2 linked regions of the Danio rerio genome follow. The protein of the gene in region 1 binds, or shares a complex with, the protein of each later gene. Links are inferred from orthologs where the notes say so. Each region holds a gene or a part of one and is shown in the gene's direction. Other genes may lie near its edges.

Evidence for each region.
Region 2: the proteins of lats1 (region 1) and wwc1 are in contact, whole or in part, in a crystal structure (PDB 6J68), measured with the Mus musculus proteins. The link is inferred for Danio rerio from reciprocal best matches to the Homo sapiens genes LATS1 and WWC1. Residues at the interface, in NP_034820.1 of Mus musculus: Ala546, Glu547, Ala548, Pro549, Ser550, Tyr551, Gly553, Pro554, Pro555, Pro556, Pro557, Tyr558, Leu562, Leu563; in NP_740749.1 of Mus musculus: Asp17, Tyr23, Ile25, Asp26, His27, Arg30, Thr31, Thr32, Ser33, Trp34, Asp64, Val67, Tyr70, Ile72, Asp73, His74, Lys77, Thr78, Thr79, Gln80, Ile81.

The regions. Positions count from the first base shown.
Region 1 is NC_133195.1:1,303,534-1,320,358, reverse strand, and holds the start of lats1 (serine/threonine-protein kinase LATS1), read left to right. Parts: upstream 1-6,245; 5' UTR 6,246-6,402; intron 6,403-9,616; 5' UTR 9,617-9,691; coding exon 9,692-10,048; intron 10,049-15,165; coding exon 15,166-15,256; intron 15,257-16,825. Other genes in the region: hsd3b2 (3 beta-hydroxysteroid dehydrogenase/Delta 5-->4-isomerase type 2), read right to left, coding at 1-187. UniProt on the Homo sapiens protein: Negative regulator of YAP1 in the Hippo signaling pathway that plays a pivotal role in organ size control and tumor suppression by restricting proliferation and promoting apoptosis.
Region 2 is NC_133196.1:40,164,279-40,180,530, reverse strand, and holds part of wwc1 (protein KIBRA), read left to right. Parts: intron 1-2,440; coding exon 2,441-3,006; intron 3,007-8,037; coding exon 8,038-8,155; intron 8,156-12,698; coding exon 12,699-12,866; exon of another isoform or gene 12,867-13,200; intron 13,201-16,069; coding exon 16,070-16,252. UniProt on the Homo sapiens protein: Regulator of the Hippo signaling pathway, also known as the Salvador-Warts-Hippo (SWH) pathway.

The DNA.
Region 1 (16,825 bases):
TAACATTAACTGCATGTAATTCACTGTATTCAACGGCTCCATTGTAATCAATGAGAGACGCAGTGTGGAAAACCAGAGTTGCTCCTTTACAAGCTCTTCTCAGCAGCTCTCGGTCTCGGATATCCCCCTCAATAACACTCACTTTAGTCTCTCCACGGCCATCTGAGCACACAGAGCAGCAACACATTCAATTGCATGCATTTTTGGACGCTTAAAAGGGTATTAGAAGAAAGGATGTCGGCTTTTGTGTTGTTTGTTTAATATAGATGCATGTCAGTGAACCGAACTCATACATTTAATTCAATTAGTTCATGATTCAAACTTATTTTCAGTGTTTTTATGGATAATGATTGGATTCTGGCATGCAGTAAACCATGATGGGCTCCAGTATGGTGAAAATAAATAATTTAGGTCAGGAATTGTGTTTTAATATGGGCTATTTCAACAAAAGATGAACAAAGACAGCCTCCTTGAAGCGATGGCAGTTGTTTTATATGATATAAATGATGAATTTTGCAGAACAGATTTTGTTTTCTGTATCCCTGCTGAAAAAAAAACTGCTTACACCAGCCTAGGCTGGTTGGCAAGCCTGGTTTTAGAGGGGTTTTGGCCACTTCCAGGCTGGTTTCCAGCCATTAACAGCCTGGTCAGGCTGGAAAATGACCAGCTAAAACCAGCTTGACCAGCCTAGTCTAAGCTGGACATAGCTGTTTTGGCTGGGATCCCAGCTTGGCTAGGCTGGTCAAGCTGGTTTTAGCTGGTCATTTTCCAGCCTGACCAACTAAGACCAGGCTGGAAATGGTTGGAAACCAGCCTGGAAGTGGCCAAAACCCCTCTAAAACCAGCCTGGTTGACCAGCTAAAACCAGCCAACCAGCCTAGGCTGTTTTTTTCAGTAGGCATATCCTTCACTTTCAGGCATTAGTGTCTATTAAATACACACTATAGTTTAATTGGACTTTTAGGCTGTATGTCGAAGCAAACACCTAATATAGACTAAAGTCTCTCTTTTAGGAAGAATGCCAACAAACAGAAGATGAGAGCACAAAACTAATAAAGATTAAAGAACTAATTACAGGATTGATATTGCAGAGCGTGTAATGTTCATGTCCACTAACCCTCAAGCGTCTGTATGAGCTCTGAGCGGATGTTTCTGTCCAGCAGCCGGATCTCAGACAGATTCTCCTCTTCCAGCAACAGTCGGACCAGCTTTTCTCCTAGAAACCCGCAGGCTCCCGTCACCACACACACCTCTCCTGACAGAGCCATGTAGAGCGCTGCGTTGAAAGCCTTCCAGAAAACACAGACATGAGAGAGGAGATTTTAGGAAACACAAACTCAGAATAAAACTGTTGGTCATTTTAATTTAAAGGATTAGTTCACTCAAAAAAATAAGATTTACTCACTACATACTCCAAACCATTAGGAGATTCTTTTGTTGAACACAAAAGAAGATACTTTGAAACATGTTAGAAACCTGTAGCCATTGACTTCAATAGAAGGAAAAACAAACCCTGTGGAAGACAAGTTACAGGTTTCCAACATATTTCAGGGAATCTTCTTTTGTGCTCAACAGGAATGTTTGATACAAGCAAAGAGTGAATAGATGAAAGATTTCTCTCTCTTTTTTAGATTTATTATTTCTATTAATCTATATTATATTATTAGTTATAAGGTTATTGTTGTGCAGAAGAGTAATCCAAATGCAGTTCTGAGCTCAGCTTGTGTACTAGTCTAGTACACAAGTGACTGACAGAAAACATTATTAGTTTTATTAAACATTATTAAAGTACCCTGAACTGGAATAATAAAGTTAAATTCTCTACAAACTAACATATTAAGATTCATTTATATAACTTGCATTCAAAAAAACTACAAACTACTCATTTTAAATGAGCTGAAACATTACAACTCTTGAGTTGTTTAACAGCTTAAGTTACTTATTTTATTTTCAAATCACTTACATTTGGAAAAACTAATAAGTTAACCTTAATTCCTTTATGTTGTCCTAACAAAAACTGAGCGGAAGCCAGCATTTTTACAGTGCAAGTAAAGTAAACAGTATAATAGTAATATTCACATTAACGAGGTTTATTTTGGTTCAAAACAAAAATCACAATGAAAATGTCATAATTAAACCAGTAAGTTACACCAGTGATCCAGCGTTTTTGTTTTTTATTGCATGAAATGTAAAATAAGTGTGGTTAATTACTATAACTGAAGCAAAATTAAGACTGTTATATTGACTCAACTAATCTAAATTGCATTGATTAAAGTAGCTGAAACAAACATTGTTAGCCTACTCAAACGCATCTTAACTCAGTTATTGGCATATAAAAATGTAACTAAAGCGAACACGTCACTTGTTTAATGTTGCCTAAAATTGGCAGCCAATTGTAAAAATAGTATGACGTAAACAATGGGTTTAAAAAGGCACAACTACAATACCTGAGAGTCCTCGGAGATGCTGAATAATCCGCAGACTGGGGTGTTTTTAAGGTTTGTTTTCTGCCAAATACAGCCTCGATGTCCTGAGACGATGTGCTAGACAGTGAGTCGAGTCTGCTCTTTTATATGGTCCTGTTTGCCGTTAAAATCAGCAGAGTAGATTAAATGTATTGATGGCGTCACGTGTTGTCGAACAGACATCAGGGCCAGTGTGGGTCATCAGGGAGATTCGAGACAATGCGGTGTCGAAACTCCATTAGCATACAAAACACCGCCGCGACGACAGGCAAAACTTCATTTACACTAGTAAACTATTTAAAACTGAAGGAATAAACCCAGGTACACCCATACGAACATTAACTATGTTTTTACTGTAGTAAAACCAAAGTAGCTACGAAATCAAGTAGCCCTGGGTCCGGTTTTTCTAAAGTAATCCACGGGGATTTTGGATAAGGGATTGGATCAAATCTTGAAAATGGGTTTTTCAAAAGAAAAAACGGATTACATAATCGGATTAGATCACGTAATCCAATCTTGGTTTTGATCCGAATCAAACCTTTAGTTTGGGTTTTTCAGATCTTTTTTTTTTGTAGGATCTGGATCACTTTGATCCAAAAAATCTGGATTAAACTGATCCCATCAGAAGGGTGGATTCAGAGTGGATTTCATGCCCAAAATGTAATGAAAACTTACAAAATTCATCAAATAATGCTATATTTAGATCATGCAGTATCTTACAAGATATCCTATTTATTCGTAAGGATTTAATTGTATTTGTTCCTCCGCCAGGCTACAGTAGGCTTTAACGTATTCAGCCTCTCAGTATAGGCCTACAGCAAAGTAGAAAGAGTTTGGCCCCATAAAATAATTCCCCAAACAGCTGTCAAAAATTGACCAAAAGCAATCAATTTTATTCGGTCTCTAATTGATATCTATATATTTAATCTATATATTCATCACAATGAAAAATATTTTAGTTTTCAGAATATTTATTAGTGATGCATGCAATGATTACAGAATAACTAGAAAAAAAAACGAAAAATGCAAAGAATGGCAATCGCTGATTTTTAAAATCACTTTCAACATATGCAAAAAAAGACTGAAAGAGCAGAAGCACAGCTCAGGAGGTTTTGACATTAAGTCTTTTTTTAAATTCAGTACATCTATATTTGAAACTTGTTATAAATATCCTCAATGTAGTGTTTGTGTTGTAGATCTCAGATGAGTTGTCTGCTGGAGGAGGATGGGGTGGGGTTTTTCTTGTTTTTAGTTTTTTTCAAATGTGTGTGTTTTCATTTCAAATAAAAATGAAGTTATATTGGCCCCAAGGTGCCTATTCTATTAGCTGCTCTTTACATATCTATAGTTCTACATTGTGATGTCCTGTTTGAGCGCTGGTTATCCAGATTTAGTGATCCTGAAAAGTTCCTATCCGGATCAGATTGATCCAATCCGATGTTGCTTTAAAAAAACTGGCTCAAAAAGTAAGCTGGATTACGTCATCACGGATGGCAAAAATAGGATTACTAAATCCAGATAAATTTGATCCGGATTAAACCTTTTGAAAAACCGGGCCCAGGGGCGCAACTGCACATTTACTGATAGGTATGCAGGTTCTAGTTTTGAAACCGAACACAACTGAAATAGTATGAAGTATAAAAGCATAATTACACTAAGCCTGTTAAGTCACAAAGAATTACTTCTCATCCCAACCCAAATTTCTTCTCAATTTAATTTTCCCCACTAAATGATTGTGACACCTTGACATGCCTTGCTTCTGTACTTTTTGCACATTTGTGAAAACAAAATGATTTATAAGGGAGTCCTAAAGGGCAAAAGAACATACGAATGCAATCACTTCCCACATGCGAGGTTTAAGGTCTGTCTTTGCATTAACAATTGACTGAAACAAAGACTTTAAAATGTACTGTGTAAAAAATAAACAGAGAAAACCTGCCTGAAATGTTCTATTTTATTAAAATGTTATGGGCAAACTGTTTTTGTAAACTAAAATAGTTTTGAGCAAAAAAGGCCTGATGTATTAATATGATGCAAAATCAAGATAGATGGCAGGAGTCACCAACCTTTTGGAAACTGAGAGCTACTTCTTGGGTATCGTTTAATGTGAAGGGCTACCAGTTTGATACACACTTCCTAATAACAAATTTGCTCAATTATTATTAATAATAATTATATAATAATAGATAATATTATTATAATAGATATTCATCTATGTGAAGGCACTGATCATGTTAATGATTTCTCACAATAGTTGTCAACATTGATTGGAAAAAGATAAATATCAATATGCAACACTTCACTTGTCTGAAATTGTTTTTAAAGTTTTTTAAATATATAACTTTATGTCATTTTCAATTTTACACCAATGCGAGTGTGATTTAAAAAAGAATACTGTAGCTTCAAAAAACATTAGATGCAGCTTACTGGTATGTGGTGCTATGGTAAGCTCATTTTAAAACAGGCCCACAGGCAATCATGTGATCCTCGCGGGCACCATGTTGGTGAATTCTGCTATATGGTATAAAAATGGATCTTTATAGAAGGATTAATAAACATTTCAGTTCCAAAAATTGTGAAAATTTAGTCAGGTTTAACAGGGTTAAGAATCATTATAATCAATTATATGAAATTCATATATAGGGGAATTTTTTATCCAGATAAAATTTTCTATTTTATCTGAAATATATTAAAGTTTGCATTTACATAAGCATATGTCTTGTGTGATCCCTCTTATTTTGGCAAATAAATAAATTAATAATAAATAATAATAAATTAATGACATTTTCCAAAAGAATTATAACGTTTGACCTTAACTGTACTGTATGCTTGATTTGACTGTTTATTTTGACAAAATTTTTACAAATCTACACAATTACATCTACATAAACACTTTACACTTGGCTGTGTTACTGCATGTTATTTTTTTAATGATTTTTATTTAAAATGTGTGTGCCAACGTATGCAACTATAACTGGTATATTTTTTATTTAATAAAATACAATATTTTACTCGTATAAAATGCTAAATGATTTTTTAAAACAAAACATATTTATCTTTATTATTTAAAACTTGCAATAAGTATAATTTCAAAAATCATTCTGAAAAGATGAATCCACTGTGTCACCTGATTGGAATACAGGTTTATTTACAAACAAAAAAACAACAATAAAAACCCTGAGCAACACATTAAATAATGTTTGTAGTATTGTCGGCAATAAAACACAAGTCAAAGTCAATTAAGAAATCAATACTTCGTTTTAAAAAGATGAATCCACTGTGTCACCTCATTGGAATACAGATTTATTTACAAAAAAAACAACAATAAAAATCCCAAGGAACACATTAAATAATGTTTGTAGTATTGTCGGCAATAAAACACAAGTCAAAGTAAATTAAGAAATCACTACTTTTTTTTATTTGCGTTTTCCACACTCTCTCAACTCTTTCTGATCTTTAAAATATGAATATTTATGTTACCACAGTATTTTCAAAGCTGTGCTTGTCTGCTGTTTCTGACGGCGCTTGCTCTCAAATGTTCTTTCATCCAATGAACAACTAATTTTAAGCGCTGTGTAACAGGGAGTATCTTTAACAAATCTACATTTGTGTATATAAAACTGCTACAATCAACATATTATTGCATAAAAACTCTTGTTATGCAACTGTGTCCATATAATAAAGCTGCAGGCGCCCAGAGGGGCCCCGGGCCTCAAGACGGCTCCTGAGGGGGCGGGGCTTAACAACAACATCCGGGCTCCTGTGACGCGCATGACAGCCGTTGTAAAACTCAAGACGACAGTAAATACCAAAGAGAAGCAGGCGGTGCGTCCACAAACACACGTATCTGTCAGACTCCGAGCAGGAGTTATTGATTATCGAACAGCACGGAGAGAAACACACCTGTACAAGCGTCATGCCGAGCTCGCATTAGCAGGTAGGTGGATGTAGTTCGTCTTATTATTCGGTGTGTGGTAGCGGTATGCTATCGCCTCAGCTTTAGGCCTCAGTCACCTGTTGGAGCGATTCATAAATGATTTATCAGGTTTAAAGGGATTTTATATGGTGTGAATGATGGTTGGGGGGTTTAAAGGTGTTGTGTGGCGATAGTAAGTGGCTAAGTGAGCTAACGTTAGCACTGTGTGAAACTACTGAACGCTGGGACTGTGTTTCAAAAACCTGTTGAGGTGCCTACTTAGTGATGCTGTCTAGGTGAGGATGGGGACTCGTGCTTAAAGGGATTTTTCATGTAAAAAGTTATCATTTATTCATTATTTAAGTTAATTTACCGCAAGCGGTTCCAATTCTGTTCAATATAAAATATTTATTTTAAAGAATGTTGGAAACCTGTAACCATTGACTAGTAGGGAAAACAAAAACTATGGGAGTCAATGGTTACAGGTTTCCAACTTTCTTCAATGTTGATCTTTTGTGTTCAATGGAATAAACAAACACAGGTTTGAAACAAGTGAATGGAAAGTAAATAATGACACATTTATAATTTTTGGCTTGATTATCCCTTTACAGTAACCCGTTTATCACAACAGTAACTGCTTTTGGTCACTCAGTTGGCTATTTATTTATAGTCTGCATTGTTTATGGGCTAGTGAGCTTTAGAAAAGCAGGATCTAAACCGTGAGCTATTAACATAACTAAAAAAACAGTAAAATCTAGAAAAAGAAACGCAATGCATGCAGCATACTAGGCTTAATTTTCTTAACTTTTTTATTATTTGATTATGCAATTTTTTTTTATTTTAAATAAAAATACTTATTGATTATGCAATATTAGAAATAATGTTTATAGCAGATAAAGTTCTCCCTAAAACCCACTCTGCTTCTGAAATGTTTCCATAAGGATGTAGGCTTTCAAGATTATTAATCAGTGATCACATTTAAAGATCTTTGACATTATATATTTTTTATCAGTGTTGTTGTTAGTTGTAGGAGGACAATCCCATGCAAATGTCATTCTTGCCATGGAAAAAAGAGAGTTTTCACCAAAGAACATACACCGTTTCAGGGTTTTTTTTGGGTAAGCAAGCATTTTACAGTACTTTAGAAATACCCAAAATTGCATGTGTCAATGTTTTCAAACTATTCAATTTGATTTACCGAAGTTACACAAGTGGCAATTTCACATCTGTCACATCTATAATGACACTTTTTCCTCATAAATATTAAAAATAATAAATTAAATAAAATCTATAATTTTTGTTTTATCGAGCGCCAACTCTTATCCTTTTGATTATTATTGTTTTTTTGGAGTGTGCAGATTAATTGAATTTGAATTAAAATCGAAAAGCAATATGGTTTAAGTGTCTTCCTTACATCCTTACAATAACATATATTTAAATTAATGCAGTTTAATTTATTCATTTAAAAGTTCTCCATGTTTTTATGCAAAGTTAACATTAACTAATAACTATTTAGCAATATGGTTTAATTGTCTTCATTACATCCTTACAATAACATTTGTTTAAAAGTTCTCCATGTTTTCATGCTTTAATGCATACATTTATAAATGTTGTTTTGTGTAGCTTTTAAAACTTTGAGGCATTCTGATTGTCTTCAATTAATTATTTTTTGCTATTTCTCATTGCTATAATATTTTTTGTTCATGCTACATTGGATTTGTGAAAAATATTCTGTTTTGCTTTGATTTTCAGAAGACTTGTAGATGAGTATCTCATTGTGAGTGTCGATTAAAAAAATTACATCAAAATATAGCGTTTTGTAATGTTGGTGTAGTTACATTGAAAATAAAAATTAACCTTGATTAAGACCTCAGAATTCAGAAGACATTTTATTGAACATTAGAAAACAAAATTACATTTAAAAAAATGTAATTATTTTGTGCAAAAATCCTGTTTATTATAGTTTTTTATAGTCTTTTTTTTAAAGAAAGGTTGGGCTAAAACATATATATATGTATATAACTAGAGTTTGCTTGTTTTGACACAATTTATTAAAATATGTGGCTGAGAAATAAGTTAATTTTAATTTTTAATTTGGCAAGTACAAAACATTTCACTGTTATTACAGAAAATTGTTAGCGTTTTGCCCTGTGATTGTCTGAAATTTGATTGATTTTGTCTTAAAAAGGTCTTAAAACATCTTAAATTTGACGAGATGAACCCAGTTTTTACCCAGACATTTAAAAAGAGTATATTTTAGAGCAGTAATCACAATACCCTGACACCGTGGTGTTTTTATCCAAGGTTATCAAACTTATAGCAGCTTATACCATGCCCAGTCCCAATTGCGGTTGTGATTTTAAATCGTAACATTGTTTAATAGCAATTTTATTATTTATTTTCTTGAGAATTAACTGATTATGAAAGGAGTCTAAGTGATATTTAAACTTGTATAATTGTCATATGATGTGTTGTTGTTGTTATGCTTGTGTTTTTAGCGGTTTGTATGGATGTATTTATGTCACCAGTTTTCAAGACAATTTTTTGCTCTGCAAACAAACAAGCAGTGAAAATTAACTCGCTATTTATTTCCGCTCGAGTGTTCCAAAAGTTATAAGTTTATTAATTCTGATGAACACCAAAGAAGTTATTTTGAAGAAAGCTGGAAACTTGACATCATTAGTAGAAAAAAAGCAAATACCATGAAAGTCGATGGTTACAGGTTTCCAACATTTTTCAAATTTATTTACAGATTTAATTACAAAGGTTTGACAAAATTAGTGATTTAATTATTTTTAGATTTTTCTATTATTTTTTTGGGGCTGCACAATGGCGCAGTGGGTAGCACGTTCGCCTCACAGCAACAAGGTCGCTGGTTTAAGCCTTGGTTTGGTCAGTTGGCGTTTTCGTGTTGAGTTTGCATGTTCTCCCAGTGTTGGAGTGGGTTTCCTCCGGGTGCTCCGGTTTCTCCAAAGACATGTTCTATAGGGGAATTGGGTAGGCTAAATTGTCCGTAGTGTATGTGTGTGTGAGTGTGTATGGATGTTTCCCAGAGATGGGTTGCAGCTGGAAGGGCATCTGCTGAGTAAAACATATGCTGGATAAGTCGGCGGTTCATTCCGCTGTGGCGACCCCTGATGAATAAAGAGACTAAGCCGACAAGAAAATGAATGAATGAATGAATGACAATATTTGTTTATTTTTGTTGATGACCGCTCATCAGTGTTTCCTTCAGTTTGCAGTTGAAACAGACGCTGGATTCTGGACCGCTTCGCTCTTCACCGCCTTGGCACTTAACATATGCTTTTACATGAGGAGGGCCGAGAAACCCGAGGGATACAGACAAATGCGACCCAAGACGTTCCCTGCCAGCAACAACAGCGGCAACAGTCAGCAAATGCTGCAGGAGATCCGAGAGAGCCTGCGAAACCTCTCCCCGTCCTCCAATGCGTCCAAGCCGGAGCAGAGCTCAGGGAAGGGCCCGCCGGATGAGTCCCGACAGCAGGGGCGCAGCACCAACCCCAGAAACTCCCACCACCACAGAGCCCTGCAGGAGATCCGCAAATCCCTGCAGCCGTTCGCCCACGACAGCTCCTCCAGCGGAGACAACAGCTCCGCAGACAGCAGCAAACACACACTCCAGACGCAGGAGCCCGGCTTTGATGAGGTAATGCAGCTGGTTGAGTTTTAAAGGGGCAGTTCACACAAACATGAAAATTTGCTAGGATGTCAATTTCCACAAATTTCTATAGAAGTGGGCCTTGTCAAGCATGGTTTTACACAAATTCCAAATTGGTCCTCTGCTTTTAACCCATCCTAAGAGCATGCACACAAATACACAGTGAGCATTACTTCCAGAGGAATGGGAGTTGAACCTGCAACCTTTCGATTACAGCCTTTAGGGTAAGCATTTATTAAAACTATTTGTTATAATCAGAATTAATAAAAACTTGCAGAAACACTTTGATTGACATTCTTCCTTTGTACGTGTCATCAGAGAGGGAAAGCCCCGCCCACTAGTGAGTAGTGACCATGGCTGTTTCTCAATACCAAGTACGCAAAGTTCAGACTTGGAAGAACGAACTCCCGATGACAGAAATGGAACAGCAGTTTACTTTATAGCGTCACTTACCTCACCATGGATTTATCGGTTTCACTGTACATTAACAATAAAATGATTTAATTGTATAAAGCACAGCCTTATAAATAATATTATATTAATATTTATAATATAATCAATATTTTTTTTAATTTTAGAAAATGTAAACAAATCCATATAAATGTAAAGTAAAATGTGTTATTATACACAGACTCATGTCTTTGATTATCAGATTTAATAAACTACAATGGAAATTATACAAGTATAAAGTACAAGACGTGCACAATAAGAAATAAAGATAACGTTAGGCAATTTGGTAAACAAAGACAAACCTCGTACAACATAGTAACATAATTAAAGACTATTATAAACCCTAGCAAAATAACACTGACAAAATAATACACCTGAGAACAAATAATAAATATAAATGACCAAAAACTGTCCATTAGATATGCAAAAGATGAATCAAATATCATGTTTTAACTACAATGGAGAGATGCGGTATATCCGAGATAGACTGGCCGATTAAAGCAGCTTACGGCAGAGGAGGTGATGACTAAGTTCTCGCTGACAGGCTGAGGGTCACACCCCATTCACAAGGTGGCGTCAGCGTCAACGCTTCCCATTCACTTTGAATGGGCGATGTCAGGCATTGCCGAACTACATTGTGGATCCGTCGGCGCCACTTCAGAGGCGTTGCTCGCTGCAGAAGTTGGGACTAGCTCAACTTTTCAAGCGCCGATTTCAAGCGTCAATCAAACAGATCGCTGTATGCAAATACACCAGCTAGACAGTGGCCTAATGCTGACTGAGTTTCATTGGCTGACGCTGCTATGACGATCGCTTCATCTCCAACTTCCGACACGCCTTCAGTCAAGCATTGTTGTTGAAGCCCTATGTGAATGGGGCATCAGAGTCCGCATAAGCTGAGCCACATCGCCAAAGGCGCGCTATTTTTATAAACAAACTGTCGATTCGAGTTTAAAACAACTATATTATCGCCTGAAAAACTCTAAAAACTTTATTTGGTGACAACAGAGGAGTATTTTAAAAATCGTGCGGGTTTTATCTTTCGCCATTAGCTTTCCCTGCTTGGGCTGCAATGCATTCTGGGATACCTGCGCTTCAAGTTCGGATAAAAGGGACGGAACAAGTACACATGCGGGAATTTTATCTGTACTCTGGCAAGATGTGAACTTTTGAATTGGAATAGTACTTCGGTAACGGTTGATGACTTTCACGAGGACACAAGAACGAAAGTACAGACAAGAATGCATATTGAGAAACAGCCCATCTCGCCTTCAATAGCAAACACAGCCCTGAGTGAGAAGCAGCCGTTCACTATTAGAGTGTTTGAGCTGCTGAAGATAATGTCAGCGACTGAGAGGATTATAAATATGGAGTTTTAGATGAAGCACAAATGAGCACTGTAGTCTCTATAGACTGCATTCTGCTGAGACGCTTCTTTTCACATTTTTGCATAAAATAGTTGCTGACATGGCATTAAATAAAAAATCTGTGCTGTGCTATGTAGGTCAATGGTTACAGTTTTCCACCTTTCTTTAGTATATCTTCCGTTGTGTTTAACACAAGAAGTCAAACACGTTTGGAACAAGTGAAAGATGGTTAAATGATGTCAGAATTTTCAGTTTTGAGTGAACTATCCCTTTAATCGGAGCCGAATGTACGGAAGTGAGCTGTTTTTGTGTCCTCTCAACCTTAAACGCGGTGTATCAATCATTTGTATCAGGAATGTTCCCTCTGTCACTTTATAATTTGGATTATTTGAGGAATGACTGTCGTGGTATGTTGCCGGACCAGCACTGGTTGTTGTAGTGAACTCGGTGACGTGTCATACTCTAATGCTGTGGGTGTGATGGTGGACATATTTTGTCTATATGATTTACTGCTCTGCATTTCTTGTGTAATTGCCAGATTTGCATATTGGTTGACAAAACAGATTTTGGTGTTTTTTGGCAGACATCTAGACCAAACTTTAAAGGTACAACTTTTACGGTTTGTCATTAAAATAATAATAAAAAAAAATACTAAAACAAATATTTTGCTGACTTGGGTACTGAATTATGCTAAAAGCTATACAGATTGTTCAAATCAAGAGGAATAGGGTATATGCGGAGCTAGTGTTTCTTCTCATACCGATAAACATCTGGTGAACGGTTAATGTGACTTGTTATCCATTTTATACGGTTCCTTTTACAGCATTGATGTTGTAATGTAATCAAAATATTTTCAGTTAAATAGATTTTGACATTCATTTAGTTGCTCAAGCGTAAAACGAGACAAAAAGTCGTTTACTTGCACGCTCCCGTCAGAATCGGCAGTATATCGCAGAAGCGTCATCGAATATACTGGGTTAAAATAAATGCTTATATTATAAAGACATGGCAGGGGGAAATGTAATTTAATGCAGTTCTTGTACAATCTGAGACCCACTTTATATCATATATCACTCAGCCAGTGGAGATCGCTTATTTTTAAAGAAAACAGACCTTAAACAAGCCAATTTTGCTATGCCGCACAGTTCACCGGAAGCGCTTAACCTAGGTTACTGGCAAATTAAAAGTCCTTTAGCATACTTCCGCATATACCCTATTATTCAATTAAATTCAGGTTTATTTGTATAGCGCTTTTACAATGTAGATTGTGTCAAAGCAGCTTCACATAAATGGTCATAGTAACTGAATCAGGGTAGTTATCAGTTTTAACTAGTGAGATGGAGTGTTTCACTTGTACTACCATACTACAACTGTTAATAATAAGGGTTCCATCCATTAACATGATTCCGGTAGGATGATGAAACCACAACTCCCATGATTCCACACTCAGTCATGAAAATAAACCTTTGTTCATTGTGAATACACGCCCTCTAGTGGCCAAGATTACATTCTGTGGCTTGAATTAAACTTTCAGGTTCATTTCATGTTCTTTTATAAGTTATAGTCTGTTCTGAGCAGTTATGCCGCAATACTTAATATAATACAACTCGGTACGACGTTCATGTTTCAGTCTTGCATTTTATTTATCCTCCGAACTGGCTCTGTGCATGTTTAAATATATGTCCATGACATGCACAATGTCCAGCAGTTATGGACACATTCACGTGAAAGTGACGTGTGCCACATGTACAGTGCTGCTTTAGTTTTTGTTTGTTTTAGTAATAGTATTTTATTTATTTGTTCTTTTGATTAGATATAGTTTTTTTTATTTTATTTGACAGTGTCCTGTTTTTTACTGAATGTATATCAAATTGTACTGAAACTGTGACATTGAAACTGGGATTGATCTGCATCATTGCACCCATAATTCTAAGCCTGCCTTATTATACTGCTGTCTGGAACACTGGATTCTGATTGGCCAGTCGTGACATTCCAAGGTATGCTATTCCCAGATAACAACCGCTGAATGACACAGACTCATCCAGGAACTGAGAATCACCTTGACTGTCAGTGAATACGTTCACATCCATATACTTACATCCACTTTCATGTGTATCTGCTTGTCTGTCACGCCGCATTTTTAAAATAGTTTTTACCTGTTTAGTGCCGTCTTGTGTCTGAATAATGTGCAGGTTAGTGTATACTCCATCAGCTGTTTGCATTCTGTCAGTTTAACTAAGGAATTAATTAACTATTACAGCTCAGAACAATGGTTAGTGCCTAATTTTTATGTTTTGTGGCTTGAACCTGTTTAGTAAGGGGGATAAGTACATCCAAGTTGGATGTTTTTGCAGAATAAACTCTTCAGTTTTATATAACAGTGCTTTGCTTTGGGCTACTGATAAACCTGTTTGGGCTTTATTCTGCGATTAACATCATCTTGGATGTACTTTATTTCCAACGTAATGTGCAGTGCACCTGTCTTGATGTGACCTGCTGTACGTTATCCCAATTGTTACAAAGTTATTTGCAGTCAAAAATGCATTGACATGAAATATTGATGTAAATGATATGACATGAGCATGTTCACTGATATGAGGGATGTTAAACAAGCACAGTAATGCATGCAATCCATTGCATAAACATTTGACAGCAGCGTGCCATTAATAACAGGAAAGTGTTCTGTGGAACCCTGACATAATGAAACAGCATTGCACTAATGCAAATTAAATGCTCGGGAGCTCACAGCTTTCACACAGCATTTTTCAGTTTGCATATAAATGCCATGTAATGAATCCCAACGGATAATGTACATTCAGAAAGTTATAACAAAAGAAAGCCCTACAGGCTTATTGGCACAAAGCAGAGGACTGTTGTAAAAGACTGAATGTTTTTTTTCTGTGAAAACAACTTCCTGAAAAACATTAAAACTGTAATAGTTATTAATTCTTCAATTGAACACATGAATGTGGATGTTAGTTAATGCATGTGAGCATTTTCACTGGTCAGGGTGATTCTCACTTCCAGAATGAGTCCATGTTATTCGGCATTTGTTATCTGGGAATAACATGCCTTGGAATGTCACGACTGACCCATCAGAATCCAGTATTCTAGACAGCCGTGTAATAATGATTTAACATGGGCTTAATTTTATATTCCGAACAGCTCAACGTGTTTGCGTTATTATAATGAATAAAGCGTATGATTGTCATGTTTCAGACACTTTTCAAAAATGTGATCAATGCAATGTGGTGTCCTGTAATCTTCATCATCTGTGTGTTTTTACAGGAGCTGATGGTCAACAGGATAAACTTCCAGGAGGCTGTGAGGGAGCAGATCCCTTCGGCACGTCCTGTGAACACGGCCATAAAACAAGCGGGTAGGCATTATTAATAGCAGTGTTATAACAGCAGTAACTAGTTAGTGTCATTAAATGACAAGTTCAGAGAGCCAGAGTAATTGTAAATGTCTCTTTTTTTTATTATTATTTTACGAAAAAACTGTACAAAAGCACGCACATCTCTCTTAAATGGGTGCTCAGCCAAAAGTGCAAATTAAATGTAAATCAAAGGCGGCAACACCAAGGCTCCAAAAATACAAATTTATTTAATTAAAATTTTTAATTTAATTAATTTGTATTTTTGGAGCCTTGGTGTTGCCGCCTTTGATTTACATATTATTATTTTACGCAAATCAGGATCAAAATAATGCTGGACTCCCAGCCACAAAGTTTTTGCCACTTAAACACATTTTGCATTGGTCAAATATTGTCTTATTTAAAAAGTCTAACAATAAATGTAATTAAATGCATGAGCAGTGCTTGAGCATCCCTATGGGTCTGTCGGTGGCCATGACGTGTAATCCTCTATGCAGGAAAAACCCTGCTAATATATTTGGAGAGTAACTAGATGTTTTAACAAAAGAAGTCACTTTATCGAATGAGTGAAATATACTTTGATACACGTTTAACATTCTTAAGTGTTTATTTTGTAAATAAAGCTAAAAGAATTGTGAATTTAGTTTGTATTCTGTATGTTTTTAGCTTAAAGTAACATGTTGCTAGCCTGAATTAGCATATTGTTAGCAATTAAATAACTTATTGAGTAATGCAGTTACTTTTTAGACAACATATTTAGAATGTATTTTAAATACAATATTAATAGTGTATTTAGTTAGTGTTTTTGAAGTAATCTACCCTACACTGATTACTAGCAGCCACAGAATCTGTATTCATTTATATATATTCATATATTCATATATATTATATATATTCATATATTCATATATATTATATATATAATATATTCATTTATTCTCTATTGATAGAAATTTTCAATTCAGTTAAACTCATCTTTATTTCTCTCGCGCTTTTACAATGTATATTGTGTCAAATCAGCTGAACACAGAAGTTCTACTTACTTGTTGTCTGCTCGGGGTAGCAGTGTGATACTATGGGGTCAGACTACAGTACAGTAGTTTATTAACCTGCTTGTTGTCTGCTGCACCTGACCTTAAACCAAAGACACTTCCTTAACACGTGGTTGATTGGTAGACAACCCAACCCAGTGTGGGTATTCCAGTATTCCAGACATACCAACATGTGCATGCTCACTGTGGTTCTGGATTCTGATTTGAGTTATAAGAGCAAGACTGAGCACATCTGAAGGAGAGAGGAGCCTTATTGCAGACTCGCATAGTGAATCCAAATTTTTGCACCCGTTCTTCAATCTTGCCATCATTTTTATAAAAATTATCTCGCAGTGTGTGTTGTGCTTGTAAACAGTGTCTCGTAATGTTGTATTAACCTGAAGGGAAGGCATTCAATATCCACAGCTTGCTAGTTAACTAGAGGAGCATTGGGTCAAATACAGGCAAAAATGATTAACTAATGTTTTTAATAAGAAGTTTGACTAATGATAAGAAATTGACTAATTTTGTCTGTTTTTGT
Region 2 (16,252 bases), on another chromosome or scaffold:
TGTTCACCTGTGATAAATTCAGTTGATTGGACATGATTTGAAAAGGCATACACCTTTCTATATAAGGGCCCAGGGTTGACAGTGCATGTCAAAACACAAACCAAGCATGAAGACAAAGGAATTGTCCGTACACCTCCGAGACAGGATTGTCTCGAGGCACAAGGCTAGGGAAGGTTACAGAAAAGTTTTTGCTGCTCTGAAAGTTCAAATGAGCACAGTGGCCTCCATCATCCGTGATGCCCCATTCACACGGGGTGTCAGCGTCAACGCTTCCCATTCACTTTGAATGGGTGATGTCAGGCGTTGCCAAACTGCATTGTGGATCTGGCGGTGCCACTTCAGAGGCGTTGCTCGCTGCAGAAGTTGGGACTAGCTCAACTTTTCAAGCACCGACGGAAGGGTCAGCAAATCAGATCGCTGTGTGCAAATACACCTGCTAGACAGTGGCGTACTGCTTACTGAATTTCATTGGCTGATGCTGCTATGATGATTGCTTTAGCCCCAACTTCAGACACGCCTTCAGTCAAGCGTTGACGCTGATGCCCCGTGTGAATGGGCCGTAAGTGGAAGATGTTCGGAACCACCAGGACTCTTCCTAGAGCTGGCCAGCCATCTAAGCTGAGTGATCGGGGGAGAAGGGCCTTAGTAAGGTAGGTTATCAATAACCCGATGGTCACTCTGTCTGAGCTCCAGCGTTCTTCTGTGGAGAGAGGAGAACAAAAGGACAACCATCTGTGCAGCAATCCACCAATCAGGCCTGTATGGTAGAGTGGCCAGACGGATGCCGCTCCTCACCTAGAATTCGCCTAAAGGCATCTGAAGGACTCTCAGAACATAAGAAACAAAATTCTCTGGTCTGATAAGACTAAAATTGAACTCTTTGGAGTGAATGCCAGGAGTTATGTTTGGAGAAAACCAGGCAACGCTCATCACCAGGCTAATACCATCCCTACAGTGAAGCATGGTAGTGGCAGCATCATGCCGTGGGGATGTTTTTCAGCAGCAGGAACTGAGTGGCCCAGACCGTAATCCTATTGAACATCTCTTGAGAAATCTGAAAATGGCTGTACACCGTTGCTTACCATCCAACCTGATAGAGCTTGAAAGGTACTGCTAAGAGGAATGGGCTAAAATTCCCTAAAACAGGTGTGCCAAGCTTGTGGCATCATATTCAAAAAGACTTGAGGCTGTAATTGCTGCCAAAGGTGCATCAACAAAGTATTGAGCAAAGGCTTTGAATACTGATGTACATGTGATTATTCAGGGTTTTTTTTTAAATAAATTTGCACAATTTCAAAGAATCTTTTTTCACATTGTCATTATGGGGTACTGTGTGTAGAATTTTGAGGAAATAAATTAATTTAATACACATTGTAATAAGGCTGTAACAAAAAAAATGTGGAAAAAGTGAAGAGCTATAAATACTTTGCAGATGTACTGTACAATAACTCTTTGACTGGTCTTTTAGGCTTGGGGTGTCCAAACCTGGTCCTGGATGGCAGGTTTCCAGGTATTTTAGCCCCAACCCTAATCAAACACACCTGAACTAGCTATTCAAGTTTTTACTAGATATACTAGAAACTTCCTGGCAGGTGTGTTGAAGCAAGTTGGACATAAACTCTCCAGAACACTAGCCCTCCAGGGCCGAGTTTGGACACCCCTGTTCTAGGCTATTGTGTATGGTTCTTGGGTTCGTCAAATCACTCTCAAATGCAACTGGGACAAAGGAAGTGCGAATAGTGGCAAAAATGTGCACATACCCAAAGAGCGTGAATAACATTTTATGCATATTATGCATTTTACACTGTATAGTGTATATGGAGATCATTTTTCTTGTAAAAATGCAAGTATGTATGAGGATCATTTTCATTTGAATGTATTTGGTTTAAAACAAAAAATGCACTAGTGTAATTACAATGTAAAATACAGGAAAAAATATATGACGCTGGTTTACTGCGCATCAAGTTTAAACACATTTTAATAGTGTGAATATTAAGATAAAAGGCGAAAAAGTAACTTGTTTTGCTGCAGATTTAATTAATAGAATGAAGAGGAAACTGCATGCCACTATATATGATGTAATGACTTTGCAATAAGACTGCTTAGCCTTATTTAAAGAATCAGACTCTTGAAGTTCTAAAACTATGCCACCCGAAAGCTCTTGTTGTTAACTTTAACAATAGCTTTGCCCTTACTTCTTATTATGACTAATGCCTAATTCATCCTCGGCGTCTAGTTGAGATACATCAAAGGGCCTGTTGCACAGAGGAGCAGTCTCTTGTGTGTCTCACTAACGAGCCTGTCGTGCCATAAGAAGCATGTTTGCTTTAAAGCAGGATGCGTTTGATGTAGAGGCTTGAAATAGAGATGAACCGGAGCTGCTTTCCGATTAACTTCCCTGCTCTCCTTCTGTCTCTTTCCATCAATGTCAAAACTCCAGTCTGTCAGCCAGCACTCTGTCATGTTCCTCGGGCAGCAGCCGTGGATCGTTGACGTCCAGTCGGGGATCCCTGGCCAACTCCAGCTTGGGCTCCACTTCCTCGCTCAGCTTCACCGATGTCTACCTGGAGCAACCCGAACTAGGCGATCCTGACTTCCAGAACAAACTGGACTCTATTTTGCAGGAGGGAAGCACCTCTGGCTACAGGCCTTCTAGTTCCATCACTACCATCCATGAGAATGAGGTCTCATCCTCGTCTGTGCAAATCGGGGGTGGTCCCGGGGTGGGACAAAGAACCCAAGTTCTGCGACTGTCAGAGACACCTCACTCAATGAACTCACTGTCCCCACGTTCTTCACTGTCTTCCCTGTCTCCTCCTTGCTCTCCTCTTGTTACTGAGGCTTCCTTCCTTTCGGGAGAGGTCTTTTCTGGTCCGGCCTCACAGTTGGATTTAGATCTGCAGACCAGGCTGATGGAGCTCCGGTTAGAAGAGGACCAACAGCAGGGGCAGCTGAACTACCAGGACAACAAACAAGAAAGCATTATGGCTGTAGAGTCTTCAAAAGGTATGTGGGCACAACCTTCAAACGACACTCAAAATCAAATCCGCTGAACGCTTGTTAATGTATGTCCATGAATACCAAGGGTAATTTTTCTGCCAAAAATTTAAATTGGATTCTTTATTACTAACCCTCATGTCTTTCCAAACCCCCGAGACTCTCATTTGTCTATGAAGAAGTAAATCATGATGTTTTAGGTGAAATCTTACAGCTCTCTCATCTTCCATAGACAGCAAGGTTCAAGACTTGTTCCAAGTCAATGAATGTTACAAAGCTGATGTACGAATGTTTGTAACTGAAAACAAAAATACAGACTTTATTCAATAGGTACTTCTCCTCAGTATCAGTATATTACGCACGTTCATGCGCATTGTGCAGTAATTTAAAACAATTTGGGACCGTTGATGTCTATGAAAGGTGAGTGAGCTCTTAGATTAAATACCAAAAATGTCTTAATTTGAAGACATTGTCTTAAACTTCCAAAAACAACAACGTTCACGACTTGTTCAAAGTCCAAAAAAGTACCAAAAAGCATCCTCAAAACAGAGCTACAGATGTAACAAAGCTACGAAAATACTTTTGTTTGTAACCGAAAACACTAATGCAGACTTAATTTAACAGTTTCTACTCCTCAGTGTCAGTATATTGCGCATGTTTATGCGCACAGTGAAGTAAAATATACCAAATTGGGACAGTTGCTTATTATGGAGGATGATGGAGTTCTCAGATAAAATACCAAATATGTCTTAGTTTCAAGACATTGTCTTAAACTTTTATAGACAGCAAGGTTTACGAGTTGTTCAAAGTTGAAAAAAGTACCAAAATGCATCCTCAAACTCAGAGGTACGAAAGTTACAAAGCTACAAATTTGTTTTTCTTTGTTACCAAAAACAAAAACAAAGACTTTGTTCAACAGTTTCTACCCCTCAGTGTCAGTATATTGCGCATATTCATGCACACTGTGCAGTAATGTGTAACTAATTTGGACCATTCCTGTGTATGGAGGATGAGGGAGCTCTCAGATAAAACATCTATAATGTCTTAATTTGTTTTCCAAAGATGAACAAAAGTCTCAGGGGTTTGCAATTAACATTTTAAGATGCATTTTTGGCAATCCATTCCCAAGTGTACCACAAGGTGAAAATAGAGCTGGCATTCTGATCAATTTGGCAATTTATTGAGATTTTTATTCATATTGTTTCGATTTGATTTTGCTCTGATTAAAATTATATCTATCCTAAAGTTTTAGTTTCGTAAACCTGGGATATATTTTTAAACACAAATTCTGCTATATTTACATTTGTGAATTTAAAGTAACAAACACTGTAACAGGAAATGATAAATATGTGTATATAGGGGTATTACCAACCTACATTACACATGACATCACATGGGTTCAACCGCGCATAGCTGTTGCAAAAAAGACCAGTTGCAATAGCAAACATGTCTTGTTGTGCGGTAGGATGGCAAAATTGCAAGTCCAAAAATAGAGAACTTAAATTTTACCGTACACCACACTGTTTTTAATGCCAACTGCAGATGTCTTTGGCCAGGCCCGTGCAGAGACTGTCCAAAGGGCATGTGCAGGAAATTATTATTTTTTATTTTTTGAAGACCTGAGGTCGCGCGCGTACTGAAGAGCGGTGTTGTCGCGTTCCTACTGAAGGGCGGTAGAGGGGGGAGGGGGGTGCCACCGGGGCACTTTTGATCATTTTGGAAGGGCACTTTCTGTCAAAGACTAGAAAGGGCATGTGCACTGCACAGGTTGAGCTCTATGTGTGCACGTGCCTGTCTTTGGCTAACAGCCATCATAAGAGCTGAATGGAGTGAGGACCTAATTAAAAATACTAGACTCTGTTCTCATTTTATATGAGTTTAGGTAAAATAATGCTGAATTATACACATTACTCATTTTTAATTACAGCAATGATTTCTGCAAAAACAGTTAAATATGGTTAAATAAACTGCGGACACTAAATACTTAGAATGAAATATAAAAATCTAAGTTCACAAACCCTGCCATACAGGTGCAGTTCCCTGTCAGAATGCAGTTGTTTTGCTTGTTGATGATTGCTCAGGCCTTGCACAGTTCTGTCTTTTTTCCTTGTCTTTGGCTAGGCAGACCTTCGTTTTTTAGCACCACATAGTTTTGAATCTGGTAGTCATGGAACATTGTTTCTTGCACATGACCACAGAACAAAATTGTTGGGATTCAAAGACTTGTAGGCCTTTAGCTTCTCTCTTGTAAAATCACTTGGAGTTTCAATGAGATAGTTGTATATTTTGGGCTGGATGCTTGGCCATTTCGTCTTATCCAAAATCCATTGGCAGTGTTCTATCGCAAATGGACCTGTCAGATGAACGCCGCTCACTTTAACGTTAATTTTGCTGAATAACTGTACTTATCACTGGTTGACAAGCTGTTATAATACGCTGAAAGCATTATGTAAATTCATTCATTTATTCATCTTCTACCGCTTTTCCGGGGCCGGGTCGCAGGGGCAGCAGTCTTAGGAGAAAACCCCAGACTTCCCTATCCCCAGACACTTCCTCCAGCTCCTCCGGGGGGATCCCGAGGCGTTCCCAGGCCAGCCGAGAGACATAGTCCCTCCAGCGTGTCCTGGGTCTTCCCCGAGGCCGCCTCCCGGTGGGACATGCCTGGAACACCTCCCTAGGTAGGCGTCCAGGAGGCATCCGAAGCAGATGCCCGAGCCACCTCAGCTGACTTCTCTCGATGTGGAGGAGCAACGACTCTACTCCGAGCTCCTCCCGGGTGTCAGAGCTCCTCACCCTATCCATAAGAGTGCGCCCTGCCACCCTTCGAAGGAAACTCATTTCGGCCGCTTGTATCCGAGATCTTGTCCTTTCGGTCATGATCCAAATACATAATATGTTATCAATATAACTTATCTCTAATGCAACAACAAACTCTGTACCATATCGGATGTCAATTCCTCACTGTAAATGCTAGTGCTTCTGTTTTTTCTGCAACCTCGCTGCTTGCGCATCTTGAATGTTTACAAACTGGTAATTCGTCTATAGTGCACACAATCTAAGCAAAAACCTGCATAATGCACATTAAAGGGCAAATATAAAACATTGATAATGTGAAAATGTTAAAAATGTGCTTTAGTAAAGTTCCTTTTTAGAATACAGAACATATTTGCCTGTAAAGCATTTCTCTGGACATTGTGTAAAATAAAAGCATACTAATAGTCCATAAAACTAAACTGTAAAGCAGTAATTTTTTAAGTTAACTAAATTAACTTTTCTAGACATACTCAAATCAATCAAACTGACTAAACATATTAAGTTAAACTTTGTATAACCTAATGTAGTTTTTCAGTGTAACAGTCATTTACTATAGCATAGATAGCTAGTTTTATAGGTTTGTTGATGCAAAATGTTACCCTGTGTCTACATCAGACATGGCTGGAAACTTGGATGTAACAACGCCACCATTGCAGATCCATTAGTCCTTCTGTCAGTAGCGCTTGGAGCTTGTCTGAAATAGAAATAAGGGTTTACTGATTATAGTGGATTCTGTTTCTAGTCGCTTGGTGCCATAGCCTGGTCTAGACATAACTCTTGCAGGCAAACCCTCATGACTGTGTGCAGATCTTAAAATTTATTACAACAATATGTTCAGGCTGTAAAATTTGAAGTGATGTGACTCAATAGTAATAATCCAGTGAATAAACAGAATAAAAAGAGTAAGAATAAAAATAAATGGTTCATTGAGTATTCAGCTGAGAAATCGGTTAGTCTGCAGGTGATTTTGTTGTTTGTACTTTGCATATTTTGTTTATTACAGTTAAAGTCTTTTAGCTCTTAGTTCCATTCGCTCTCCTCTTAAATTTAAACTTTTTCAAATTAATTTAATACATTTTGTAATTATAGAAAAATCCCCAAATTCTGTTTAACTGAGAGACTTTTTCAACATATTTCTGAGCATAATGGTTTTTAATATTGCATTTTTAATAAATGATTTCTTTCATCTGACAGCTTTACCTGTTACCCAGCATTAGAGTCGCACAATTAATCAAAACAAGATTGCGATCTCGATTTGACCCGCTAGACGATCTTAAGCCAGCATTTCTACGATTCTACCAATCATATTTTCAAGTTCAGGAGAGAAGCGATGGCAGCCGTGCATGTCTTCACATTGTTTTACATACATTGTTCAGCAACGTGGACACCAATGGTGTTGAAAGAGTCACATACTGTATTTATAAGGTATAATTCACCTCAAAAATGCCATTTTTGTCTTCATGTAATGTTGTATTCACGGCCTCAAGGACATTTTAACAGTATGTCTGATAATATTTTTTCTTCTGGAGGAAGTCTTATTTGTTTTATTTTGAATAGAATAAAAGCAGTGTTTATTTTTTGAAAATCATTTTAATGTCAAAATTATTAGCCCCTTTATGCTATATTGTTTTTCGATAGTCTACAGAAGAAACCATCGTTATATAATAACTTGCCTAATTACCCTAACCTGCCTAGGTAACCTAATTAACCTAGTTAAGCATTTAAATGTCACTTTAAGCTGTATAGAAGTGTCTTGTATTTACTATATTTAATGTCATCATGGGAAAGATAAAATATATCAGTTATTACAAATGAGTTAATAAAACTATTATGTTTAGAAATGTGTTGAATAAATTTCCTCTCCGTTAAACAGAAATTGGGAAAAAACAGGGGGGTAATAATTCAGGGCGGCTAATAATTCTGATTTCAACTGTATATCCACACACATAACAATTGTAGAAAACAAAATATTCTCAAATTTTACTTGAAAAGGTATAAAATATGTTTAAAAAAAGTCTTCATCTTCATCATGGGCACCCTTTATTACTCATCAGCAGCCCGGAATTCCAGCTGAATCCAGATCAGCTTTCTGAATGTCTAGTCCGATAGTGTAGATTTACAGCTCACTCCCCCCCAACAGCCCAGCAGGTGAACTCAGTCGAAACTTGACACCAATCCAGAGTGACTCGTGTCTCATTTCTTCTCAACTGTTCTCTGTGCATGCAGATGCTGTTACGCAAACAAGAGGATCAGGGCCTGGATCGAAGAAAGCAGGAGTAACATCTGCAGTGTCTGACGAATCGGTTGCAGGTGACAGCGGTGTATATGAGCCCTCGGAGAAAAGGTAGGATACAAGAATTTGTGACCTTTTATTATGGATTTGTATTTAAAATGACAAATTGATTAATTGGCTAATGATTAATTGAGTAATCATTTTATCTGCACAACTTATAAATAAGTGCATGGATGGGGACACTAATAATCCAATTTTAATATGATTAAGACAATGCTCAAGGTCGTATTCGAACTAAACAGAGATTGGATTAAGACATGTGGATATGCCAATTTTAATCACATTATTGAAGTGCATCACAGACATGTTTTTACCACCGTGTTTGATTTTCATCGCATTTTGCTACAGGATAGTCTAAACACTCAGCTGTTTGACTATTTTTTGCACCAACCGAGAGACCTGCATTGCAAAATGCTGAGTTTTTTTTTTTGTCCTTATATGGCTTACACTATCAAATTCCATAAAAACTACATTTTTCTAGCAGTTCGTACTCGCATCCAATATCTAGTTTGTCACGGCTGACGTTCATGAAATGTTCCTGAATGAAAGTAAAAATGAAACACCTGGAATTACTTGAAACTCCAAAGGAAATGTACAGTGAATCCGGAAAGTATTCATAGCACTTCATTTTTTCCACGTTGTTTTATGTTACAGCTTTATTCCAAAATAGATTCAACTCATTTGTTTCTTCAAAATTTGTGATTTGGAAAGGCATATGCCTGTCTATATAAGGTCCCAGGGTTGACAGTGCAGCTTAAAGCACAAATCAAGCATAAAGACAAAGGAATTGTCTGTAGAGGAGAACCTTACAGAAGTACAACCTTTGTGCAGCAATCCACCAATCAGACCTGTATGGTCGAGTGGCCAGACGGAAGCCACACCCTGCCTGGAATTTGCCAAAGGGCATCTGAAGGACTCTCAGACCATAAGAAACAAAATTCTCTGGTCTGATGAGACTAAAATTGAACTCTTTGGAGTGAATGCTAGGCGTTACATTTGGTGAAAACCAGGCACCGCTCATCACCAGGCTAATGCGCTCCCTACAGTAAAGCATGATAGTGGCAGCATCATGCTGTGGGGATGTTTTTCAGCAGCAGGAACTGGAAGACTAGTCAGGATAAAGGGAAAGATGAATGAAGCAATGTATAGAGATCTCCTGAATGAAAACCTGCTTCAGAGTTCTCTTGACCTCAGACTGGGGCGACGGTTCATCTTAAAGCTGGACAATGGCCCAAAGCACACTGCCAAAATATCAATGCGGTGGCTTCACAACAACTTGGTGAATGTACTTGAGTGGCCCAGCAAGAGCCCAGACCTAAATCCTAACATCTCTGGAGAGATTTGAAAATGAATGGACACTGTCGCTTCCCATCCAACCTGATAGAGCTTGAAAGGTACTGCAAAGAGGAATGGGCAAAACTTCCCAAAGACAGGTGTGCCAAGCTGGTGGCAACATATTCAAAAAGACTTGAGGCTGTAATTGCTGCCAAAGGTGCATCTGTGACGCTCAATAATCAGGACGTGGAACCCAATTGCAAGTGAAAGTGTTTTAATGAAGATCACAGAAAAAGACAGAGAAAATGGTGAGTGGCTGGAAGTACACAGTCTTTTAGCAGGAATAACAGTAGCGATCTGGGTCGGCAGCGCCGATAGAAAGTTCATGACACTCGTCAACAGAGTGAATCAAACAGTCATCATCAAAGGAACCGGAAACATCTGAGAGTGAAACGAGGAAGCAACCGAGCCACTCACCACCAGCGAGAATCAGCGAGAGGATCCTGACAAAAGACAAAACACCGTGAGCATACAACGAACTGACAAAGTGAGACAGGAACGCTGAACATTTATAGGCACAAAAATGCGCTACACCTGTAGCGCGCTGATTAACAGCCGAGCGGTGACACGCAATAGTTCCGGTAACAAGGATCATGTGACCGCTCAGCTGATGCCACGAAAACAAACACCCACTGACAGGCACGCGAGTCCCACACAAGCACAGAGAGAGAAGCACACACACTTAGAAACACATACCATAAATGATAATGAACTGTCACACAACGCAGACACTTCAAATGAAGAGCAGATAGATCCACAACCGTGACAGCATCAATGCATCTAGCAAAGGCTGTGAATACTTATGTAAATGTGATTTTTCCAGGTTTTTTTATTTTTAATAAATTTGCAACAATTTCAAAAACTCTTTTTTCCACATTGTCATTATGGGGTATTGTGTGTAGAATTTTGAGGAAATAAATGAATTTAATCTATTTTGGAATAAAGCTGTAACATAAACAAAATGTGGAAAAAGTGAAGCGCTATGAATGCTTTCCGGATGCACTGTAGGTAGTGAGATGATGCAATGACGTCATTAATGACGAATTATGTGCTGTAACATGTAAAACGGAATCATGAAAGGAACATTCAAAAAGCAACTCATGTAAACACCTTAATCAAATTAATGTCTTCTTCAGATTAAGGTAAATCATTTGATTACTGATGTCCATGTAAACGTAGTCAGTGATATAAAAGACACTTTTCAAATTTTATTTTAAAGACCAGGCTATTGTACTAGATGCCAAAAAAGGTCACTTTAGGTTGACACACTTGTATTTTTTTTAGTTATTTTTTTGCAGTTGCAATTTATGCAATTTTAAAGTCTTAGACAAGATTTGTATTAGTAAAGTTGTTGAACATTCACTGGTTCTCTACTCTTTCTTCAAAGAATTCAAAACATTTGTCACGCAAAGATACCGATGCATATTAAATAATCAGTTGTGAAAAAATGCAAAGCAATTTAACCATTTATGCTTTGTTCTCTTCTCTTTTCAAAAAAGAAAGTGGAAATATTGTGTCCATTCAATCCATTCCACATTATCAAAGAGCTGCATGGATCTCAAAATTCAACGTTTATTTCAGGAAATCTGTGGAATTTTTGTACTTGGTGCAGAGAATATTGTCAAACAGCTGTGTGTGTATATATATATCATCCTGTTGCAAAATACGGTGAAAATCGTACATTTCGGTAATAGTTTGATTGAGAGTTTGATTAGGACCTTAATCGAGTTAAATTAATCAAAAATCGCTGTTTACATGGTAGACTCTTAATCAGACTCTTATTGGTGTCCATGTAAACGTACTCATTGTTTTCCACTTGCACCAAAAAGTGCTCTCTTGCTTTTCTTTTTTTGGTCATCAAACAACTGACAACTGCCATGTGTGTGTCCTGTCGTAAAATGTAGTGAAAAGTACTACCAAACGGTAATAGTTTGCTTAAGACAGCGCTCGAAAATTCCGATCATTTTGGTCGGATATGTGCCCGAAATTTTATCTATGCGAAATCAAAATATATTTTATATTTTAACATAATTTTTGGTGGGTGCGCCTAAATTTTGACCTGTGCGTCTGAATTTTTAAAGTTAGGAGCACCGGTGCTACCAAGAAGAAAGGTGCATTTAGAGCCCTGTAAGGTGTTTACATGTCTTCAATAATGTGACTAAAATTGGCATACTCCACATTAGGGTTCGGCGATGTCGACCAATTTGGCATCGTACGATGTCTAATGTAAAACATCGCGATGGACGATGGCATCGTCGTCATAGGCGGAGGTGAATTATTATTTATGAATAATTAATTAATTCATAACGAATTAATTATTTGTAGCCTACCGTTTCAACTACCTGACCCGCATATTTTACCCATAAACAAATCATAAATGAATAAAGATAAGTTGCACACAAATTACCACCTGTCAATCACTTTTTCAGCGGAAGGTTGGTCGGTAAAAAAAGTGCACAACAAACAGTATCTGAGGTTTTCACTAAAATTACTAAGTACAAGTGTGAAAGTGAAAGACTGAAGCAGTGTACTGATGCTGTGACACGTTACCTGATAGATTCAAAAGACCAAAGAGTCGTAAGATAGAGACAAGATTAATTTAATATCACCTTTAACAACTATAGTGAGACGTGATCCAGCGGTACATCCTTGACTGTCCGATGTGCACTGCTCACTAGAGCTCAGACGAGCGCATGACAGTGTGTGTGGCTGTCTGTGTGCGTGGCTGTGTGTGTGTTGTCACATGATGTGCGTTTTCAGCTGACGGAGGGCTGTTTAGAAATGCTAGGTAAAACACGGTGTGGATGTGGATCTTTGTCGTTCTAAAAGGCCATTTTAATACTAAGACGTATTAGTGTTTCGCGAATGGGTTTGCGACGGAAACGGGGCGGAGGATTGGCGATACCGGCTCAGCAACGTGTTTTCTATTGGCTATCTGCGATGGACGATGGCATCGTCTAACGGCCTGACCCTACTCCACATGTCTTAAATAGATTTCTGTTTAGTTTGATTATAACTTTAGTCAGTTATTAGGGTAAACAAAAATCGCTGTTTACATGGTCAACTCTTAATCAGAGTATTATCTTAATCATATTAAAATCTGAGTATTGGTATCTATTTAAACATACTCAGTGTCCCAAATTAAGGTTAACATTTAATTGATTAGTTTATTGTTAATTTAAACAGCCACAGTTCATTGGAATTTTTTGAAACTGACATCCCTGATTTGGCTGTAAAGTGCTTCTGTTCATTTCCACAGGCCTGGGCTTCCAGTTGAGCAGCTGCTGGCTTTTGATGACGGGAGCTCAGCAAGCAGCGCTCAGATCAAACTTGGCCTGAAGTACGAAGTGAAAGAGAAGAGGTTCACCGTGTTCGTAATGCAGCTCTCCAACTATAGCGCGCTCTCTCTGCCAGCCAACCAGAACATGTGAGAAAGCGCTCTCTTCCTGCCAGCTTCATTTAAACATGATGGAGTCATTAATTTTAATCAGATGTAATTTTGATATAGCATCGAGAGGAGCAGGTTGAGTTGTATGAATAGATTTAACCCATTCGGCTGCTGCAAAAAAACTTTTAATTTTGACTTTTTTCCTTGAAGTTGAAAACAAACCAACATTTTTACTTGATTTTTAGATATTCGGATTGACACATTTTAGCTTTTGAATTCAATAGATAAGGGGAAGGCATCTAAGTCGGGACAGTTCCTAACCAGCAATTTAAGACAAAAATTTGATGTTTAAATGGTAGCACTTTAAAATAAGGTTCATTAGTTAATGCATTTACTAACATGAACTAATCATGAACAACACTTGTACAGCATTTATTAATCATAATTGAACATTTACTAATGCATTATTAACATCCAAGTCCATGCTTGTTAACATTAGTTAATGCACCATGAGTTAACATGAACTAACAATGAACAACTGTATTTTCATTAACTAATGTTTATTAACATGAATAAATACAGTAGTAGATGTATTGTTCATTGTTTGTTCATGTTAGTAAATGCAATACTTAACTTTTACTAATGAACCTTATTGTAAAGTGTGACAGTTTAAATCTATACTCCTTGTTCAGGTTAAACAGCAAAGAAGTAATGCTTTCACAAAAATAATGGTATATGAAGTAGCCAGTCATAATAACTTTTAGCAAGCCTTATCCATAATAGTAAAACAGCAAAACTTCATCCCTACTGTTAAGAATTGTCTTGTCTGCTTTCAATTTTAACATATGATGTATGATGTTGTAGGCTATAAGTGCCTTTAAAGGGCATCTATGGTAAAAAATCTACTTTTCAAGCTGTTAGGACAGATCTGTGTGTTGGTATAGTGTATAGACCGTCATACTGGGGTGATATGAACACACCCAGCCCTTTTTTTTAAATTTAACTACAAAAATAAGGGTCTGCCAATTGGAGCTGTTTTCAAATCGATCGCACCATTACGTAGGTGTGCGATCCCCCCGCCCACCGAATTGATTGACAGCTGCGCGCATTAACATGTTCCGGTAGTCGCGTGTATATGTCAACAAGACTAGGAAGACATACGCAAAGCAACCGGGAATAAAAGCTCTGTTCTGTTCGCTAGGATCAGCAATTATCATCAAATTTGATTAAGAGTAAGTTTCACATGTTTAAAGTGTTTTAAAACAGAGTATGTGTGTAATTAATTACAGCAATTTACTTGAGCTTTACTTCATCAGCACAGCCGCGTGTCAGAACAATTATAAAAGAAGACGCTTCAATCCCGGTTTGTGGAAGTTAAATCAGGTTTATTTTGTACATTAGCATAACAGATATCCACACAGTACTTGAGGTTAGCCCTAACTAAGCTAAGCGTGCTCTGTCTGTCTGCCTGCCTGCCTGTGTGTGTGTGTGTGTGTGTGTGTGTGTGTGTGTGTGTGTCATCTGCGGTGTGTGTGTGCGCGGGCGCGCGCGTAAACTTTGTAACGATATTGTGTGTGACTCATCAATGCAACTTCACAATACTGATTAGTAAAAGTTAGTTCTTACTGTAGTATCTCACAAAAGCTACGTGAGACCTTCTTCCTTTAAGTCTGTCTGTTGTCTGACGCAGCTAAGGGAGGAGGCATGTAGAAATAGTGGGCGGGAAAGACTCGTCTTAAAGGCGCAGAACGACAAAACCACCCCCTGCTGGAAATCAATATAAAACAGCATCTTGTAAAAGGTATAATGAAAAATCTGATGGGTATTTTTATCTGAAACTTTATATACACATTCTAGAGACGCAAAAGACTTGTATTAAATCTGAAAAAAGGGGTAACCTAGGTGCCCTTTAAAACAACGGACATTGTTTGTTTAAGTTGATCTCTTAAAATTGATCACTTTAGAACGTTCAACAACTGTTAAGATAGTATAAATAGTCACCTCTGTAGAATATACAGTACATACAAAATCACATTTACAGTGCATCCGGAAAGTATTGATAGCGATTCTTTTTTTTTTTTTTCTTTGTTTTTTTTTTGATGTTACAGCCTTATTCCAAAATAGATTAAAATAATTTACTTCCTCATTATTCTACACAAAATACCCCATAATAACAATGTGAAAAAATATTTTTTTGGAAATTTTTGCAAATTTATTAAAAATAAAAATCTTGAAAAATCACATGTACATCAGTATTCACAGCCTTTGCTTTGAAGCTCTAAATTGAGCTCAGGTACATTCTGTTTCCACTGATCATTCTTGAGATGTTTCAGCAGCTTAATTGGAGTTCACCTGTGGTAAATTCAGTTGATTGGACATGATTTGAAAAGGCATACACCTGCAATGTGCAGAGACATCCTGAATGAAAACCTGCTGCAGAGTGCTCTTGACCTCAGACTGGGGCAACGGTTCATCTTTCAGCAGGACAATGACCCAAAGCACACCGCCAAAATATCAATGGAGTGGCTTCACAACAACTCGATAAATGTCCTTGGGTGGCCCAGCCAGAGCCCAGACTTAAATCCTATTAAACATCTCTGGAGAGATCTGAAAGTGGCTGAACACCGTCGCTTCCCATCCATCCAGATAGAGCTTGAGAGGTACTGCAAAGAGGAATGGGCAAAACTTCCCAAAGACAGGTGTGCCAAGCTTGTGACATCATATTCAAAAAGACTTGAGGTGCATCAACAAAGTATTAAGCAAAGGCTGTGAATACTTATGTACATGTGATTTTTTTAGGTTTTTTATTTGGAATAAATTTGCAACAATTTAATTAAAATCTTTTTTTTTACATTGTCATTATGGAGTATTGTGTGTAGAATTTTAAGAAAAAATGAATCTAATCCATTTTGGAATAAAGCTGTAACATAAAAATGTGGAAAAAGTGAAGCGCTATCAATACTTTCCGAATGCACTGTATATTGCATAATAAAAAAAAATAAATAAATAAAATAATAATAATAGGTTGCATGCGTCAAATCTGGTGTTTGAATTTTTGAAATGAATCACAACTCTTTGAATTGACATTGTATTAATTCAAATTATTTTTTGAGTTCCGCTTAGTTCAGATCCTCTGATTGGCCAAATTCTGTCTAACTTTAGAATGTTGAATGTATGTGTCTCTGATGGAAAAGGAGCACCTGTGATCTGAGTTTGCCTTGCCTTAATTTGTTCTGTTGCAGATATGTTCGCGTGGTGGTTCTGCCATGCTCGGAGACCGTTCGCTGTCTGTTCCGCACACACTGCGCTCTGCCACAGGAGCCCGTAGAGTTAAAGGAAGCGTTTAGCCTGCAGGTGTCCTCCACTGCTCTCCGACAGAAGACCCTGCGCATTGATGTCTGCACCACCAGCAAATCAGGCCGCGA